Linked DNA regions of Lytechinus pictus. The protein of the gene in region 1 interacts with the protein of each later gene in a pairwise test. Links are inferred from orthologs where the notes say so. Each region holds a gene or a part of one and is shown on either strand. Other genes may lie near its edges.

Evidence for each region. The genes of interacting proteins can lie anywhere in the genome.
Region 2: the proteins of heat shock protein HSP 90-beta-like (region 1) and stress-induced-phosphoprotein 1-like interact in binary tests that used the Caenorhabditis elegans proteins (3 or more experiments, as listed by UniProt). The link is inferred for Lytechinus pictus from reciprocal best matches to the Caenorhabditis elegans genes hsp-90 and sti-1.

The regions. Positions count from the first base shown.
Region 1 is NC_087251.1:7,019,512-7,030,492, reverse strand, and holds the start of heat shock protein HSP 90-beta-like, read left to right. Parts: upstream 1-6,678; 5' UTR 6,679-7,075; intron 7,076-7,734; 5' UTR 7,735-7,765; coding exon 7,766-7,927; intron 7,928-10,981. Other genes in the region: uncharacterized protein LOC129266063, read right to left, coding at 3,056-3,064. UniProt on the Caenorhabditis elegans protein: Molecular chaperone that promotes the maturation, structural maintenance and proper regulation of specific target proteins involved for instance in cell cycle control and signal transduction. Undergoes a functional cycle that is linked to its ATPase activity.
Region 2 is NC_087251.1:32,939,830-32,949,974, forward strand, and holds the start of stress-induced-phosphoprotein 1-like, read left to right. Parts: upstream 1-5,875; 5' UTR 5,876-6,095; coding exon 6,096-6,107; intron 6,108-9,185; coding exon 9,186-9,312; intron 9,313-9,742; coding exon 9,743-9,845; intron 9,846-10,017; coding exon 10,018-10,138; intron 10,139-10,145. UniProt on the Caenorhabditis elegans protein: Plays a role in gonad development. Up-regulates longevity and thermotolerance. Binds daf-21/hsp90 and inhibits its ATPase activity.

The DNA of each region.
Region 1 (10,981 bases):
TAACTGTCGAAAAATATTTCCGCTTGAGTGAGCACCACTAACTTTTGAAAAGTTAGTGAAAAATTGGGTGCTGGTTTGTTAAAGGACAAGTCCACCCCAACAAAAAGTTGATTTGAAAAAAAGGAGAAAAATCCAACAAGCAAAACGCTGAAAATCTCATCAAAATCGGGTGTAAAATAAGAAAGTTATGACATTTTAAAGTTTCGCTTAATTTCACAAAACAGTTATATGCACATCCTGGTCGGTGTGCAAATTGGCAGACTGATGACGTCACCCACTCACTATTTCTTTTGTATTTTATTATATGAAATATGAAATATTATAATTTTCTCCTCCTTGTCAAGTGAAAGAAAGTTTATTTTCTCCCTGAACATGTGCAATTACCATTATTTTAACAGTTTATGGTTAAGTTAAGTTGGTCCTTATTGTCAAATCTGTAAAATTTGAGATATTGTATTATTCAAACAATAAAAAACAAAAGAAATAGTGAGTGATGAACATCATCGACTCTCTCATTTGCATATCGCTGAGTTGCGCATTTAACTATTTTGTGAAAAATAAGCGAAACTTAAAAATGTCATAACTTTCTTATTTTACATCCGATTTCGATGAAATTTGCAGCGTTATGTTTGTTTGATTTTTCTCTATCGATTCAAATCAACAATTTTCTGGGGTGGACTTGACCTTTAAAAAGCCGAGAAAAAAAAGTTTTCACTCCAAAAATTTGGTTAAGGGGGAAAATGACACAAAAAATTATTTCAACTAAATGAAGTTCTTTTAGGTCAGAAAAAGAATTACAACAAAAATAATAACAATTAGATAATAAACAATGTTTTTTCTTCTGTTTGAAAAATAACAGAGTATTTGTATAAAATGTCTACATTTTAGCATACCAAGCTAATTACCAAGAGGGTGCTGCTTATGGTGTACAAAATACCCAACAGTACTTCCGCTTCCAAGGGTTATGACCATCAAGACGTTTATATCATATTGGATGCAGTGGTAAAGGTTCAGGGTCTTCTTTTATGCAAAGAATCTGAACCAGACGGTCCCCCTCGATCGACCCCAAATTGGTTTACCAGTCAAAACAAGATTATTATTGATTTTCATAATCAGTTACATATTCAGTGCCAAGCCTGGGAACGCATGCTTATTGTCATTCAATTATTTAAAAAGAATAGTACAGACGACATTACAAATAAGGACATAATATTTAACGACAGTCATTCGTGAAAATTTCAACGTCTAAGCTTTCCCCGCTATGTTCTCTATGTTTTCCCCGCCCCTAACCATCTCTGTCTCTCCACCTCTCTTATGTCTACTCTTCCTCCTTTTTGCATCGGTAAACCTGGCAAACTTTAGATATAAATAAACCAGCCAGACAAAAAGGAATGTTATAAAATGATGAATGAGAATAGTGCAGTTTCATTTTGCTCCTGATAAATTGAATGAAAAAATATCTGTCGTTTGATTTCTTTTTAAAAAGCGTTCACGGTACACCTCCAACGAATTCGTAAATAGCATTGTTAGGCCGATGAAGACATAATGATGATGAAATGCCTAACCGTGACATGCACTTCTTATTTAATGTATGTACATGCGGGGGCTTTTTGACAATTCATTGCATGGGGGTTTAAGACTGGCCATATTTTACATAGAGCTGTCATTTTTACCTCTCCCATTATAACCCCTGCCATTTTACCTCTGCCATTATTACCTCTGCCATTTTTACCTCTGCCATTTTTACCTCTGCCATTTTTACCTCTGCCATTTTTACCTCTGCCATTATTACCTCTGCCATTTTTACCTCTGCCATTTTTACACCGAGCCGTTTTGTCATCAAAAAGAATTAAATTAGATGTGTGTATTCAATATTTCATTACAAGCAGTTTAGCATTTCGAAATTTCATTCCAATAAAAGCATGAAGTATTAACATAATGAATTCCTAAAATTATTGTATTGTCTCCAAAAAGATTTAAATTACATGTGTGTAATCAATATTTCATTTCATACAATTCAAAAATTTTCACTTCAATAATAAATGCAGTTATTCAAAAAGTTACTGTATTGCCTCCAAAAAGGTTTTTAAATGTGTATAATTAATATTTCATTACTACCAATTTAAAATTTCATTCCAATAATATGCATGTAGTATAATTGATATATCAATTCCTAAAAATTACTGTATTGCCTCCAAAAAGGTTTATATTAGATGTGTGTAATCAATATTTCATTCAAACAATTCAAAAATTTCATTCCAATATAAAAGCATTTAGTATAACATTAATTCAAAAAGTTACTGTGTAGAAATAATTATCAATATTTCAGTACGAACAAATTAAAATTTCATTTCAATAAAAGAAATGAATAAAATATACAGTGGCGTAACAGGCGGGGGGCAAGCTGCCCCCCTTGGTGGATTTCACCGGGAAAGTATAGTACTGCCCAAAAAGTTCTACAACCGAGAACAAAAAAGAAAAGATGAAAGGAAATGAAAGGAAGATGTAAGACATGATGTTATTTTCTGAATACCATATCAAAATCAATCTCAAACTAAAGTTAGACTCTCGTCTCATAGAAGGTAATTTTTTTTCTCGCTCGTGCACGTGCCATGCTGTGCTCCCTCTATTTGTACTTATCACACGTTGAGCTTCGCCCTAATACTCGGGGTACAATAAAAAAAAATCCTGTACATACCATGATATGACCGGGAAATTTTTGGCTCTTGCCCCCCTCCCCCCCCCCCCCCCCTGGCCACCGACCATTGTTACGCCCCTGGCTTTATAGGCCTAGAATCTTCTTATCGCAATAGTACTGATAGTATACACTAAAATAAATTGTGACCAAAGCCAAAGGGCATTAGCAACATTTTATCACGATGGTTATTCTAATTCTTCCAGAGTAAGTGCTGCCCGAAGTGATGCTTCAAGATGATGAAGTCGAAGATTATAAACGCACTGGTTGTCTTCTTTCAAGTTCAAAATGATCTGGGATATAGAAAATAGGCCTACATGAATCAGTGAAACTGGAACATACACACATTGCAATACTCACGTACGCCATGAACAGCTACACGCACAATAATATTTAAATCCCAATATGGTACAGTTTTTGCAAGATGTAGGTCCTTTGTGAGACCACATTAATATGCGTACAATGTCATGTCGCAAGTTTAATGTTCGCCACTTGCACTGTGGGGAATCCCAGCTGGGATTCCCGCGTCTATGGCAAACCGTTTGTGTAAAAACTATATAAACTCTTTTTTTCTCAGATAAACCGAGTTTATCTGAAAAACTGTGTTTATCAACTGATATAACACAGTTTTTCACAGATAAACTGAGTTTATCAACTGATAAACTAAGTTTATCAACTGATAAACTTAGTTTTTCAAGAAGAACTTAGTTCTTCTTGAGAAAAACTGTGTTTATCTGAGATAAACTGAGTTTTTCTGAAAAGAACAGTTATTTGAGAAAAACAGAGTTTATCTAATTTTTACACAAACGGCTTGCCATACGCGTCATGTGGAAATACCCAATGTCAAAGCAAGGTCAGCACATGAATTGCACATTGCTTTTTAGTGGATCCACTGTATAAAAAAATAAGATTGACTAAGATCTAGTCAGGAAAATCTATCAGAATTTTATTTCAGAACCGGGAAGTAATTTTAATGCTGATAGATGCTATAAATATGGTTATTAAAAGAATTTAAGTTCTTGGTCTTTTTTTAAATATTTATATCACGCATAATATCTGTAGCTATCGTATCCTAAGGTTTTGTTTGTTTTATTTCCGAAATTATAAAAACACAATATAACATAAACAATAACTCACAAACAACAACCATGTCCATGATAGTGTAGGCCTATATGATATGGTTGGATGGCCCGTGAGAGCTGATATAATATAAATCTGTGTTCAATCATGGGATGGGGTCTGACATAATGATAACAATATACATAAACAATTGTATAACATAGGCTATGTTATAGCATGTTTGTTTTTATGTCTACTGTATTATATGCCTATATAAAACAACCATACATACCAATAACAAATATCACAAGAAGATAATAGACTCAGTCGCATGTCTCCTCCGGTGTCCGCACGGTGTGTCGAAAAAAAGCCGTTTTACGGATTTTTATATAAACTCAGGAAGCTGGTAAAAAAAATCGTAGGCCCCCTTCGCGAAATTGCGGCTCAACAGTGGCGTAACAGGCGGGGGGCAGGGGGCAAGCTGCCCCCTGGCGGATTTCACCGGGAATTTTTTTTTTTAACGGGAAAAGGAGAAAAGGGAGGAAGAGAGAAAGGGAAACAAAGAAAGGAAAGAGGAAAAGGAAGAAGGGAAAAAAATGAAAAGAAAGGGCAAGGAAATAAATAGGGAAAATGGAAGGAAAGCGGGATAAGGAACGAAAGAAGAACATGTGACGGGAAAATGGGAGAAAGAGGCAAAAAGAAACAGGAAATGAAGGTAGATCCGAAAATCAGAAGAAAAGGGACAAGAAAAAAAGAGAAAAACTTAATAACCCGACCGAGCTGCCGAGAATTGAAAAATATATAGAACGGGAAGAAATGTGGATGGCATCTAAAATAAGCTTGCTAAATTATATGCAATAATTAATGGTCGCAATCAGGACAAAAAAAATCTTTAGCCAAGGGTTAGCCAAGGGCTAGTTATATCCCTCTATCCTAACCTAAGTAAAGCTTTCCGCGGGGCTTTGCGCTGGCTAGATTTACCGTAAAAGCCTTAAAATTAATGTTCACTTTGGGTAAATTTCCAAAGCTACTAGAATAAAATCATATTAAAAGACCAAATTTTTCTGGCTCGATTCGCTCGCTGGAGACTTTACAAATTTTTCCATATTTGCTATGTTGTGCTGCCTAAAAATATTTCGTTCATTATCAGCGATTTGATAAAAAAGTGGTCATTTGCGATTTTATTAAAGGAGAATGAAACTCTTGGAGCAAGTTAGCTTTTGTGAAAGCAGAAAAATCAGAGAATAAGATCAACAAAATTTTGAGTAAAATAGGACTAGCAATAGAAGAGTTATGAGCATTTGAATGTCGAGATCACTAATGCTATGGAGATCCTCCCATTGGCAATACGACCAAGATCTATGATGTCACAGATGAACAACTCTCCCCTTTTGGACACTGAAAATATAGCCCAAAACATCTCTTTTTGCTCATTCTAATCATATGACAAACGATTCATCAATGATATAATGTTGTGAAACCTCTGTACTTGTCCTCTCATAAAGAGAACACCTCACCTTGTGATAGACTCTATAAAAGTGAGAATATAAGTGAAATAAGTACTAAAGTAATGAGGGAGTTGTACGTGTGTGACATCACAGATCTTGGTCGCATTGCCAATGGGAGGAACTACATGGCATTAGTGATCTCAATATTCAAATGCTCATAACTTTCTTATTATTCATTCAATCTTCCTCAAACTTTCAACAATATGTTTCTTTGATTTTTCTCTTTGATATGGATTCAGCTGGTTTCAAGGGTTTCATTCTCCTTTAAATATCGCGAGGTTCCGGGGGCTCCGCTCCAGACCAGTGGCGGCACCAAGGCGGGAGGCACGGGGGGCATTTCCCCCCTGTGAGTTGCCCCCCCCAAAAAGATAAGTAGATAACTTGTTCACATCCAATGTTCAAGTCAATATTTATTAGAGTTTTCATTAATCGTTAATACACATCCTGCGTATTCATAGTTTTCATATATCAAAAACTTTTCAGCTCGTGCTACGCACTCGCATCAATTGTTTGATTAAATAGCCATCCAGTTCATAATTACAAAAAGTGCTTGGAACGTCCAAGGAAAATTAAATTTTTTTTAAATTGCATTGATTTGAATATGGAAACACACACACTAAAGTGGTCTGAATCTATATTTCTTCAGCAAAAAAATTAAAAAATGAGGTGGGACTAGAAAAGTGTGAGGAACTAGTCTATATAGAAACAGCTTATTCATTTTCCTGATTTCTCGGTTATCTGAGCGAGTTAAAGTATTTTTGCCATAAACCATATATAACTTAAAATGTGCTCTTCCTCAATTCTGATTAATTTTCAAAATTTATCTGTTTTTCTGTTATGATACACACCGATGCGATTTGTTGCCAACATGTGGAAGATTCAATTACATTTTCCTTTCTGTAGCTGTGCTTGCACAATCAAAGTTTGATGCGCAGATACATTAGCGATAGAGAATAAACCATGGATCATACTAGAACTATTTATGATTGGTTTGGTGAACATTATAGCACCAATTTGTGCAATTGTTGGAAATCGATAAATACATCTACCCTACCCCCCAAAAAAAATATCGTGATAAAATGCCGCTTTTTTACAAAGATCGTGCATACAATCGGGCATTTAAATCGATGAATATTCAAATTGAATCTGATTGGTGAATTTTACCGCTTTATTTGGACGAAAACATTTTTCGATCGGTAAGCAGTACATGATACTTTTGTATTCTTTACATTTTTATGGATACTTTATTGGTGTTGCTAGTAGTAAAATATATAATAACTAGTTCATCATCGCTTTTTTATTTTTATTTTGCAAGAATAAAAATCAAATTACACGACAATAATTTGACTTGATTAAATATTTACCCTCAATTAAAGTATTGGAAAACCCTATATCCGCATCCGGTGTCGAATATGCTAGAAAAACCGAAGCACATCTGATAATGAACATATAGTTCTCAAAGGAAATATAAAAAAATAAAACCAGAAATTAAAAATTTGAGTAAAATTGAGTACGATTTTATCTATGTTCTTGAAAAATTAGTTAAAATACAATTTTTGACTTCATAAGCCTAAAATATTGGAATTGAATGGCCGCGGATTAATATCAATTCATCCCCGCGCCAGTGCATGCAGAATGCAATTCCCATATGCATCCTCGGCGCCGCCTCGCCATATTGTGTGTCGGATCGGTCGCACATGTTCATATCCATTCATTCATTAATCACGCGAGAGTGTTTCGGTGCCGTAGACTGTCTTGACTTGTCCTGCTCCTGACGAATCTTCTAGAAGAGAATTTTCGAGAATTTGAAGAGGTAAGTTAGGTATATAAGATCTTTCTACCTGAATTCTAAGTTTATTCTACATTATTTCCTTATTCAACTCAATTGACTAAGTCAGACAAGTGAAGTTTGGATCGGGTTTACAAGGGCAGGCTTGACTGGGAGTTGAATTGAAGTTGAATGAATCTGGTCTGGATATTGTGAAACGCTTTGTGACAAAGTTTGTCTAAATTTGATTTAAGATCTGAAGAGTGGTGAGATTTATTGTGTCTTTATTGTCTAGATATGATTCTTGATCATGGTTTCAACTAGCCTAGTCTTACTCTTACTAGTCTGATCAACTTTTGATAGATCTAATCTCTAATTTCTAAAGCCAGACCTAGAATCTAGATCTGTTTCAATTTCATCAAAATTTTGCTCCTTGTCTGGCATGTCTGGGGACATTTTTTTCAAAATGAAAATTCTCTTTTAAAACTTTTTAAATAAAAGCAGTGTTTTTTTAAAATATTTATGCTGGGGGGGGGGGGGGCAGTCAAATATTTTGCTGTATACATGCGTGACCAAAAAATGCTTTTAAAGGTTTTTTTTCCAGTTTTGTACGCGGAATCTTTGCCCATGGCATACTATGTCTATAGCATAGGTCTAGCCTAGGTTAAAAATCTGTGGTAAAGTTTTTTATTCTTTCATTGCAGTCAGTTTTAATACAGATCACAAAAAACCACCATGTCAACTGAAACCAAACGTCCAGAAGAACCAATGGAAGCTGAAGAGGCAGAGACCTTTGCCTTCCAGGCAGAGATTGCTCAATTGATGAGCCTCATCATCAACACATTCTACTCAAACAAGGAGATCTTCCTTAGAGAGCTCATTTCAAATTCATCTGATGTAAGTTTGTTTCATCAATTCCAAATTGCAGCGCATGCAATAATATTGGATAGGGTAAAAGGAAAAGATGAATTTTCTTCTTAACTGAAAGGTGTGTACACTCTGGGCTCTGGCAGAAAAATATGACAATCAAAACACTGAAAATTTGATTAAATTTTGACAAAGATAATCAAAGTTAAGACAATTTTAAAAGCTTGACATTATTTTGGTGTTAAGTTCTTTGGATGTCTTCATGAATATACATTTAGCAAATTGATGTCATATCCTCACTTGATCTGTCTATACAAAATTATGTTTATTCAAATAAAAAAATTTGGACAACTGGTATTCTTGCTACAAGATTTTTATTACATGGGAGACATCATACACACATTTTCTCACATAATAACATAAGAAAATAGAAGGTGGGGCCCGGGGGGGGGGGGGGGGGGTACTTCCATTGACGAGTGGATACCATGCGCGACCATGGGGTCTTGAAAAGCACCCTAAACACGTATTTTCGTCGGTTTTACCTTTACCTACATCATTGGGTTTAGTACAGCCACACCTCGCGCAAATCATATTCTAAACACAGTGTTGACTCTTGGGGCAAAAAGTACGGTACATCCTTTATAAAACATTTTAGTCTTGATTTTTTATACTTTTTTTCAGCATGGAGTACCCCGTTTACTTGTCCCCAATGTTGGAATGTGATAAACTTAAGTTAAGGAAAGATCTAAAAGTTTTTAGATCCGATCTATTCTAAGCCCAGGATTATACAGCCTTAAAATTTCTAGATTAAAAGTTTAGTTTGACCTCAGAAGGCAATTCCCGGATAAAGTAGGCATTGTTTCAAAATTTACTTGCTTTTCCCCCAAGTTCAGAACGGTTTCATTTTGAATTTCATTTTGAAATTTTAGAGCACCCCTGCTATAATTCATATACGATCTTCAATCCAAATGTCTAGATATCCTTGGTCATAGGAGGATCTGAACCACACAGCAAATTAGTCATTTCAGAGTACAGTTCACTGACTTTTAAAGAAACTAGCTGTGTTCGTTAACTAAAAAGAATATAGAGTTCTACTTGGACTTTGCATGAGTCACCTTCCATAGATTGAATAATCACTTGTGAACACCAACTGAATTGCTGAGAAGGTATCTATTTAGAACTGGAAATATGATCAGAGATTTGTTGATCTAATACTGTAATAAAATAGAGATGTAACGATTGAAATTCCATGTGGATGCATTTGTCAAACATAGATATTTGTTATTTTTTTAACTGGGACTTACAACAAGGGATAGGTCTTACTATATCATTTTAGCCTTTAAGGAGATCAACAAACCAGAGAGCAAAATATTATCAGCTTGGTCCATGGACGGGAGGATTATTGTAACTGTACGATGTACAAACAACAAAACTATGAAAAAGCAAATCAACTCAAAGGAAGACCTTGTCAAACTTATATGAATAATTTTGCCTTAAAGGATGATAATCCTTCTACTCTTTTCACCATAGCATGAACACTCACTTTATAATATAAAGTGAAATGACTTCCAGGCCAGTGACTTACACTGCAACTCACAGTTATCATCGAAACATTTGTTATCAATCTCTTCAGTTTTTGTATTCTGTTCTATTACATTGTCTTTTTACTTTTTACATCCTAATTTGTGTACTACTACGAAATTTGCCTGTTTTACTCATATTTTGTCACCTCTTGGTTCAATTTTGCATAGTATACCGTTCGCTAGTTTTAAACATTTTGTTCATTTCAACTTTTCTATTCTAAGTGTTTATTTGTAAAATGTTTGTAAATCCCTTACCTATTGATACTGACACAATGTTACATTTACAGTATGCTGACGACAGCAACAATTCCTCTGAATCTTGTTACTATACTCCAAACCAGTTTAATAATTGTAATATCCTTAAAAATGAAGATCCTAAGAATATGTTTTCTCTTTTACACGTTAATTGTCGGAGTGTTCCAAAGAACTTTGAAAACTTATTAGTATTTCTCAATAGTATTGACCTTGAATTTACAATCATTGGCCTTTCTGAGACATGGCTCAAACCTAATTCACATATACCTCTTTATTACTTGGAGAATTATGATATGTTAACGAATAATCGAATATGTAAACAGGGAGGTGGAGTTGCAGTATATATTAATAAATCTCTAGCATATAAACAGAGACCAGACTTAACGTACATGTTTGAATCTCTAGAAACCATATTTATAGAGGTTAAACCAAACAATAACTCACGCTCTTGGTATATTATTGGTATAATTTATAGACCTCCCTCAGGAAATGTAGATGATTTTATTTGTAAAATGAATTGTATTCTGAGTATTGTCAATAACGAGCACAAAAAATGTTATTTGCTTGGTGATTACAACATAGATCTCAATGATATGAATGCTTCTCAAACCACCAAGAACTTCTCTGACTGTATTAATACCAATTCTTTAACGCCGCTAATAACTGTACCCACACGTATTACTGGTCACACTGCAACCCTCCTAGACAATATATTAACGAATGATGAAAATAACTTAATGAATGGAGTGTTTGTTTCCGATGTAAGTGACCACTTACCTGTTTTTATCATCACTGAAATCCCTTCCTCAATAGATAGTCTTAGCAATGCTTATTCTAAACGGTCAATTTCAGACACTTCCATTGCAACCTTTTACCATAAACTCTCTTCCGTCAACTGGCCTATTAATGATGATGATCCAAATAGTAGTTATGATAGATTTTTATCAATATTCCTTAAATTATACAATGAATGTTTTCCTATTATATCTGCTAAACATAAAAGCTCTTTAAATAAACCTTGGTTCAATAAACATTTAAAATGCCTGTCAAAGAAGAAACTAAAATTGTATCGTAACTACCTTAAAAACCCTTCCGATAGCAATAGAGAGAAATATAGGTCTTTGAGAAACATTTTTACTAAAGAACTACGCAAAACAAAGAAAAAATACTATGATCAGCTTTTCAAAGACACCAAAGGTAACTCATCTAAAACATGGAAAATATTGAATAATATGTTGGGTAAAAC
Region 2 (10,145 bases), about 26 Mb from region 1:
CAGTATTTCCCCCGAAACCCCCCGAAATCAGCCGCTTCGCTCCCTGGGATGTTTTAGCATCCTAACTGATTATTACAGCGAGAATCAAGAGGATCCAGGAAGTTCGAATTTTCAACCCCATTGCCCCACTTGCGGCATGGAAAATTGGGCAAAATTGGCAAAAATTGAGCAAAATAATATTGTTCAATATTTCCCCCGAAACCCCCCCAAATCAGCCGTCTTCGCTCCCTGGGATGTTTTAGCATCCTAACCGATTATTACAGCGAGAATCATGAGGATCCAGGGAGTTTGAATTTTTGACCCCCTCGCCCCACCCGCGACATGGAAAATTGGGCAAAATTGGCAAAAATTGAGCAAAATAATATTTGTTCAATATTTCCAACGAAACCCCCCCAAATCAGCAGTCTTTGCTCCCTGGGATGTTTTAGCATCCTAACCGATTATTACAGCGAGAATCAAGAGAATCAAGAGGATCCAGGGAGTTTGAATTTTCGACCCCCTCGCCCCACCTGCGACATGGAAAATTGGGCAAAATTGAGCAAAATAATATTTGTTCAATATTTCCCCCGAAACCCCCCCAAATCAGCCGTCTTCGCTCCCTGGGATGTTTTAGCATCCTAACCGATTATTACAGCGAGAATCAAGAGGATCCAGGGAGTTTGAATTTTCGACCCCCTCGCCCCACCCGCGACATGGAAAATTGGGCAAAATTGGCCAAAATTGAGCAAAATAATATTTGTTCAATATTTCCCCCGAAACCCCCCCAAATCAGCCGTCTTCGCTCCCTGGGATGTTTTAGCATCCTAACCGATTATTACAGCAAGAATCAAGATGATCCAGGGAGTTTGAATTTTCGACCCCCTCGCCCCACCCGCGACATGGAAAATTGGCCAAAATTGAGCAAAATAATTTTTGTTTAATATTGCCCCCTAACCCCCCCAAATCAGCCGTCTTCGCTCCCTGGGATGTTTTAGCATCCTAACCGATTATTACAGCGAGAATCAAGAAGATCCAGGGAGTTTGAATTTTCGACCCCCTCGCCCCATCCGCGACATGGAAAATTGGGCAAAATTGAGAAAAATAATTTTTGTTTAATATTGCCCCCGAAACCCCCCCAAATCAGCCGTCTTCGCTCCCTGGAATGTTTTACATGTAGGTTTTATAGGAAAGAAAATTGTAGGCCCTATAATTCTATATACAAAACTTAGGGATTTTCTTCACTTCAAATTGCCAAGTTTTTTTTCTAAAAACAACACCCCTTTAATAATTGATCTAAAAATCCTCTTTACAGTAAATAGGTAAAAGAAATAGAATACAGTATGAAAAATTCTTCATAACAGTCACCAAGAGAATTTCAATTATCATGGTTATTTTTATCCACAGATCAGAAACCAAATCCTGTAGTTACCGGTAATGGAAATGCTTTTTCTCCAAGCATATTATTTGTGCACTGGTTTGAAAATTGATAGAAAGGCATTTGATAAGATATTTAACCTGTAAAACAAATCAAAGTACTAAAATGTGTGTACATCCTCAGAAGTGTATTAAACTTATCAAACAGATAGCTTGTCTACAGGGCAGCGGCCAGCTCTCAGAGAATACATTCAAATCAGAAAACACAAAAGAGGATACATAAATCAATTTTTTGTTGACTGCCTGTTCAACTTATTGTTTTTGTTAAAAATTGGAAGAGTCTAAAATATCCATCAAAGAGGTACGTTAATATCTATATTAGATATTAACATACAATATAGTCATCAGTCTTATCAGACAGTGTTTGACTTAATTAATTCAGTGTGTTTTTTTTTCTTTTATTCCCCTTCTTTCCCTTCCTGTTCAGTAGTCTCCAGTCTTCGTTAGCACAGAGGGTGACCCAGGATTTTCTGAATTATATTATCACCTTTATTACACACCAACCACTTCGGGTTTTTTTTTTAACAAAGAGGGACCCCCCACTCACTTCTAGGGTCTTATACTTTACATGTTATTGTAGTGCACATCTACCAACTGATAAATCTTGACTAGATCTAGGCCTCTACCCCTGGCAATAGAAAACAGTATTATAATTTATATCCCTTATTTAAGATTGTTGTATTGAGAGTGTACACAAGGAGAAAAAGAATAGTTTTACTACGAAAAACGGTTGCCATGAAATAGTTCATTTTCCTTGCTGACGTCATGCATAGTCCATTTTTTCCCTAGGGAAAAAGTGAACTATACGTTTTTTGACCCCGCCCCCTACTCGATTCGCGAGCTGTGCGGCGCGATGCGAGCAGAGCGCTGCTCAGCCCAACGGTACTCTCTACTGCATGCCACGGGAAACTTTCGGCGAGCTGCACTAACCAGGTTCGCTCGCTGAACAGACGATCAATACGACAAGGCTTATTGTTTTCTCAACTTCTCAACGATTGTTCCATCATCGACTTATTAAAAATCGTTTTGCTGTAAAAGTCGGGTATCAACAAAGAATATCGTATGAAGAATATATATGAGTGGAAGGGATATAAAACAAATATACAATGACCCATTCTCGGAACTGGCTAAAACTATTTGCACTTAGGAACATCACATAGTACTATTCTCCCTCGGGCCGATGGCCCTCGGGAGAATAGTACTGATGTTCCTTCGATGCGAATAGTTTTAGCCAGATCCTCGAGTGTCATTGTATATTTGTATAATATTAGAGCTACACTACCCTATTCCATAGCTCTATCATAAACCCAGGGGGCTCCACCACCAAAGCGAAGGCAGCGGAGGCCCCATCTCCCGAAGGTCTAAGTTAGAACCTACACATGTACTACATGTACTGGATTCTATTTGAATTTTAATGTCAGAGTTAAAAAGTCAGGTTTAAGATAAGACATAGAAGAGATCTAGAGTAACATTTGTGGTTCTAGTAGATCTATAATGTTAGCTTACTAATGATGTAAAGACAGTTTCAATCTTGGGCCCTAGAATAGACTAATTACAAGCGATTGCTCGTATTGCCTGAGCTAGATATCTATCCTAGATCTCTTGTATTGCTAAACTAGATTAGGTCCTGCATTAGGTCTCGATTTTGATCTATAAAGCATGAATGGAAGGAGCCCCAGCCAGACCCAGTCCAGGGGCAGGGCTGCACCACCCCATTCCCTGGCCAGGACCAAGGTCCAAACCGGGGTAGGCCTAGACTAAAGTAGTAATGGTAGGGCCAGCTCAGCTCATCCAAAATTTCTTAGATCAACAAGACAACAGTTAGATCTAGACTAAGTCTAAATTAGACGCTTAGTCCTAGATAGAAAACTATCTACTGTAAATCTAGACTAGGAGTTAAAAGGGGCCAAGCAAGTACTTGCTAGGGCCTGGCCCTGCATGGCCATGCCTATTTCATGCTTTTTTTTAAATCTCCGAACAGTTAAGTTAGGGCCTACATAGTCATAGTCATAGATAGGCTCAGCCCAACTTATTTAGGCCTGTGCTTGGCCCTAACTTCCGGCTAGGCCTAGAAATAGTCGAGGGCCTGGCTCTAACGGTCAGTGAGTGATAGAGTAAATTTTGTATAGGTAGACTCTAATCTAAAGAGAGGGTCTAGTCTAATCTAGACTAGGCCTAACGTTAGAACTTGGATCTAGGCCTAGTATTAGAATTTTCCAGGAAGGGCAGGGGTGCTCCTACGGCCGGGCCTAACATCGTTAGGTTTAAAATCAATGAAAATGTCCTGAAGGTTAATTAAAACTTTTTTTCTGTCAGTGTTGATTCCATGCATTATGATTAAGCCATTATTTGTCTGTGTCAGACGCCGGAACCTCCGCTCCGGCTAGCACTGCCGGCGTTGTACGGCTAAAAGCAGCCGGGGAGCATCCGAGCAATTATTGCATAAAATTGACGGCGATAATAATTCATTTAAAAGATCTATTTATACTTTGAAACTTTGAATTCTGATCAGAACGTGAGATATATCTATTAAGCTACGATATATAGCAATGATCTTTGGATACATACCAAAATATGCCTCTATCCCGTCAAAATGGGAAGTCGAAGACACTTTCTCGCACGAACTTGATTTATGGTCAATTATGGGGCTAATCATTGTTAAGGGCATCCTTGCGCAATGTTGCCAGCGCGAACCACCAGCTCAAACTTTTTGACATGTCGTGTAATAAGACATGGAAATTAAATATTCTGAGCTGGTTTTGCAATCATGAAAAAGATGTGTATCTAACTAAAAAATAACTGTACGCTCGCTATTTTTTTTATATACTGACCAGTAAAGGAAGCAGTTAATTACTGCATTTTAAATAGGATACATAACTCACCAATAAAAATAATGCGAGCGCAAAGCGCGAGCTCAAAAATATGTGATATTCCAACATGAAAACTGGACATTCTAAGTATTTTTTGTGAACGGGAAGAGAACGAGTACAATAATTGATGCGAGTGCAGGAAGCGAGCCAAAAAATTGTGATATTCCAACCATAAAGCAACATTCTATACATTTTTGTAACCATGAGCAGGATTAGTACTGTACTAAACAATAATTGGTGCAAGCCGCGATTCAAAATCTGTGATTTTCGAACCTAAAATGTATTATGTTTTATTATTAAAGAAGGTATATTTATTTTTAAAAAAGGGCATATTTCATTTGGAAAAAGAAATCCTACAGGGATTTGGGGGGGGGGGGGGGGTGCAAGAGAGCACAAAGCGCAAGCTAAAATTTTCAAATGCTTAAACTGAAAATGAGTCATTTTTACGATTCTTGTCAGTTTTCATATTTTTTTTTTGCTTACAACCACTTTTAAATTTCAATTCTCATTTCTTGTATCTTCTACACTTATTTCACCTTAAAAAAACAGAATAAAGAATACTAACAAAATAAAGTTATATTCAAAAGGATATAAAATAAACAGGGCGCACACCATATCCTTAGTTGGGAGAGGGTAAATCTTAATTATTTCTTTAAACAGTCCTTAATTATTAATACTTATTGATAATATCAATAATTATTGATTATTCAATTATTATTTTTGTATTAATTATTATTTCTTGAAACTATATTGACACAAAACAAATACGTTGTTTATTTCATTGAAACTGTAGAGACATGAAATTCACTACCTTGAGGAATTCCAATACTACTTCATCTTTTAAAACTAACTTAAAAACCTACTTGTTTAACACTGCATTCTGAAGATCGACAGGCATTCATTTATCTATTTCAACTTGTATTTTTCTTGTTCTAGTTCACTTGTTTCTTACATTAAATTATAATTCTAGCTCCTCTTTTTCAAGCGCCTTGAGCATTTCAACAAAGTGGATAATGGCGCTATATAAATCTCATGTATTATTATTATTATTATGTAAATTTGACTGAAAAAAAGGTTTCACAACAAAATTAAGGTCGTTTTGGTGCCAAGAAATTTGATAAGCCAAAAAATGGGTTTCAACACAAGATGTTGGTCATTTTCCATACATTTCTCTTATAATTATGTGACACATGCACCTATACCAAAATTCTGGAGTGCTGCCCCCGTGCTGCCTATGGAAAATAATACACGCAGCATCCCCTGGGAAAACCTTGGGGGTGCTTCAGCTTCAGCACCCCCAGCAAACTGCTTCCCAGGTCCATGCCCCCGGGCTTTTGCCTTGCCAGCCCCTTTTTTTGGGAGGGGGGGGGGGGGGGTTCGAGTGTCTCATACCCGGTCTCATAGTCATACCCCTCACTCGCTGCTATAGCTAGCTGTGCCAAAGTTTGCAGCATGTGTTTCTTGTTTTACAGTTTCTAATGAGATAGGTAGCCTACTGAAAGCGTCTAGGCTTTTCCAAGGCTTATTAGTCCTAAATTAAAGTGATGCTAAGTATCTCTCTTTTGCTCAAGAGTTGCCATCACGCACACAGCACATATATGAAATTCAAATAATTATTCGCATAAAAAAATATATTTTCTTTCCTTTATTAGAAAAATTTCACTTTTTTAAAGAAGTAATGTGACTTTAATGTTATTAATTTTCACATACTGGCTTGAAGAAAAGCTAAATATTTTTAGGTTAGTGAAAATTTGTTTAGAGAAATGATCCAGAAGCTTCGGAGCAGCTTAGGAACAATCGTATACGGGAAACATGGCAGACGAGGTAATATATGTGCAATATTTTCGCATTTCAACCATTGTAGAATAAGTGAAGACGTAGATGATTTATTTACGATTTTAAGGTTGATAATTGAATATAAAGTTTTAATTTCATTATCGTGAAATAAAAGAAACCCGCGTTAAATTCGTTAGCGCTCTTCGCAATCGCACTCGCAGATTGAATTGCAGTGCATTGCATGCAGTGCAGATTTCGCATCCACAGACTGACACAGTCGTCTGTAGCCAGGCGGCTTCTAACTTTTTAGACTAGAGAGTAAACTAAAAGTCATTTACTTACGTAAGGTTACTCTCCTATGAAGCCAGGCAGTCCTCCCCATTCATCTGCGTGTACCGCATAAACCCTGAAACTTTCGCCCCCGAGATTTCTACTTTCCTTCTAAAAGATCTAGCTCTAAATCATGTATGGCAGTGAGTCCAAACTTCGCGCGTGTCCATACTTCGCGGACGGTCATTATCTAAAAAACTAGCCAATATCCTTAAAATCTGACATCATCAACGTGAAAAGCGACCTAAAATTACCCTTTGGTGTAAATTTCTTTAGGATGAGTTCAGTATTCATGAAAATATTGGCAAAAGATCGGCAAATTTGTCACCGTTAGCGCCCGTTTTGAAGAAATCTGATATTCTCAACAAGCATCACGATATCACCATTTTGCAAGCAGAAATCATCAAAAATGTGAGTTAAATGTGGTACTAACCGATTCTATAACATTTTGCCATCAATCTGATATAAATATTTCACTTTTTGAGCTTGAGTTTTTGTTTAAATGTCCACAAAAACTTTGGTCCGCGAAGTTAGGTCACACTTTTTCTGAACGGTTTTCCAGCACAGCGCGCATTCGCCGATCGGAATAGATTTTTGAGATCGCGATACCGGCGAATCCCCTTGACCTACTTTAAATTTTCGTCCATGATTTTATAGTTTACGATCTTGCCGTCAATGTGGTAACTATTTCTTGAATTGGTTTTGTATAAATTATGAATATTTTGTGAAAAAATTTAAGCCTGATGAATATTTTTGAAAAGTGCGCGAAGTTTGGACACCCCATCATAAATGGGATAAAAACTTCATTTCCGACATTTCTACGCTCTCGTTATTTTTAAAACAAGAATTCATCAAAAAAATGAAAAAATATTGTGAAAAGACGGAAGAGACTTGCCCGATGTTTACGCCGCCATCTTGTTTCTTATTGTACTTCCCCAACGTTACGCGACGCTCGCGTCCGTAACGGGTGGGTAGCAGTCCATGTGAAGAGTGACCCCCCCCGGTACCGTCCTCATCATTAGTACTTAGTAATAGTAGAGTTTATCCATCATAGGGTCAGCAGTACCGCTTGTCTGCCCACACCTTGTCTAGCCTTATTTTGAAACTGTTCACCTGTAAAAGCAATCTTTAGAAGTTGTGTTTTGTTAAATTCATTTTTTTAAAAGTTGTTGCAAGTGCAAAAATGTTGAATTTTGTGAATGTACCTGTGTATAGAATCAATCAGATGACAATAAGATTAAATTATTTCATGGAAAAATACATCGTAATATTACAGTGAGTGAATGAATATTGATAAAAATATTTTATGAAATAATTTGGGCTCTGAATTTGTTTGAAAAATAAAAAGTGAAATTCTAGCTAACCCTTTTAATTGCTAACTGTACGTTCTCAACCTTATTTTTTATACATAAATAGGTGCATATCTTAATTTCTTTACCGCACAGGATGCTTGCAATAGCAAAGCTTTACTGTTGGGGACATTAAATGTGTCAATTTTTTGCGCATTGTAAATTCGCAAAATCTGTGAATATAAAACGCCCGCAAAAATAACAGCTTATAATATCTGCAAAGCTGCTGCATACTGCATGGTCTGTGTTGAGTCTATGCAAATTGCGAGTCCATGCAACACACAATCCGTGCAGTTTTTTGCACATCATTGTAAATTTTTTAATAAATATTTTATCTGCTTTTCATCCTTATTGCCTTATCGTGATATTCACCTCCTTTTTTTATGTGTGTTGTATGTGCTCTTGCCTCTCGGTTTACTCTTTGACTTGACTCTGAGTTTGAAATCGATGTATGATTTCACAGCCACTGAACTAGGGAAATCAGGTCACAGAATCTAGCACTCCCTTAGTACTCTATACGGTGCCGTCTACAGATATCAGTGGATGGGTGGGGGGGGGTGAAAAAACTGTCCACATAACAACAATCTCAATATTATCAAGACATGATTTATTTTTGTTTATGAGGATATCCTAGCTTTCTGGGACGATCCTCATTTTTGGTTGAATGCCTCTACTGAGCTGATGATAATGCCATTAAAAGGATACTCTGGGCCCGAGAAAATATCAAAATAAATAGAATAAACTTCACTGAGCAAAACACTGAAAATTCCACCGAAATGTGATGAAATAACATAAATATTGAATTTTAAAATTTAGCAGTATTATGTTTGAACAGTTATATGCACTGTTATGAATATGGAAATAGTTGGGCTGATGATGTAATGTCTCCACTTTTCATTATTGTTATTACCAGGGCCGAGTCAAAACGTTTAAACGATGTTCAAACGACTGTTAAAAGCATCAATGGTTTTCTATTTTGACAAATGCTTAACTGTATATAGCCAGTCTTGGTCTACACCAAGGCAGAACTGACTTCAACTGAGTATTCTAAGGGCTTTAGATGTATTCTTCTGCCCTATCAAAATTCTCTTGACTCTTTATCGAATCTTTAGACAGGCTTGAAGGCGCATAGCATTCAAGCGTGAATAGGAAATTAATTTAGCCTAGGGCCAAGGCATATGAACAATTGTAGGAGGAGCTGTTTGTGCCAGAAAATAAAGCATTTATCCACTAGATCAAGAGAAAATATGCATTAGAATTGGCATTGCATTGGTATCCACTTCTACCTCCTTAAGTTCTGATTTTGGTCTTGCTCTGCTTCCATTTTACTTCGTAGAAGGGGGCCCAAATATGTCTGCACCATGTGCGTGAGCCTATCCAAAATTGGACTTCAGATTAAACGTGTTTTTTATTTTACCTGACAAGTATTTGATACTCCCATTACCAGGCTTTGAAACTGAAGGAGCAAGGGAACGCTGAATACAAGAAGAAGAATTTTGATAAAGCCATTGAACTCTATACCCAAGCCTTTGAAAAAGATGGAACTAACATCTCATATATCACAAACAGAGCTGGTAAGTAAAATGAGACCCTTTAGTTGCTAATTATGAAACTTTTTTTCCTAGTGTCAGTTTGAAATGGATTAGGCCTTATGCAATCTTCAGTTTTTAATATTTGTATTTTTGCCTTTGACAAATGTTCCAAGAATACATCCAAAATTTAGTTTTTAGAGCAAATGATACAGACCTTTTCTTAAAAGAAGTGAAAAATGTAATCACAATATTATTTCAGGAGCTATATGCAAAGTAAGAATAAGTGGTAGACTCAAGAGCTAGTTACAATTTTGCATTAATGTAATTTCATTTAGAAATGAATGTTTGCATGCAACCATGCTGTAATTAATTCACACATATTTTCACCAGCAAGCAAGTTTCAGGTGATTTGTATCCTGATTGAGATGAGTGGACAATGTTGTAATTGACCTTATTTTTCTTTTGACGACAGCTGCACATTTTGAGAAAGGAGATTACACGTTATGCAGGGAGGATTGTTTGAAAGCAGTAGAAGTTGGCAGAGAGAATCGAGCTGACTTTAAAATGATTGCTAAGTAAGAATTCTTCTATCTTTCAACCATTTTGCAAGTTTGGTATTGATAATGATGCTGTTAATATTAATTTATGTAGTTTTTAATAACTACTTGTATATAGGCATGCAATAAATCTAAGACTTTCTTAATAACCTAATAACACTCATTTATTCAACTGTTCATTGCATTTCAGAGCTTTTTCAAGAATAGCATCGTCATATACCAAAGAAGATGATCTAAAAAATGCAATGCTTTATTACGACAAGTCTCTAGCAGAGAATAGAATCCCGGATACACTGAAGAAGAGACAAGAGGTAAACT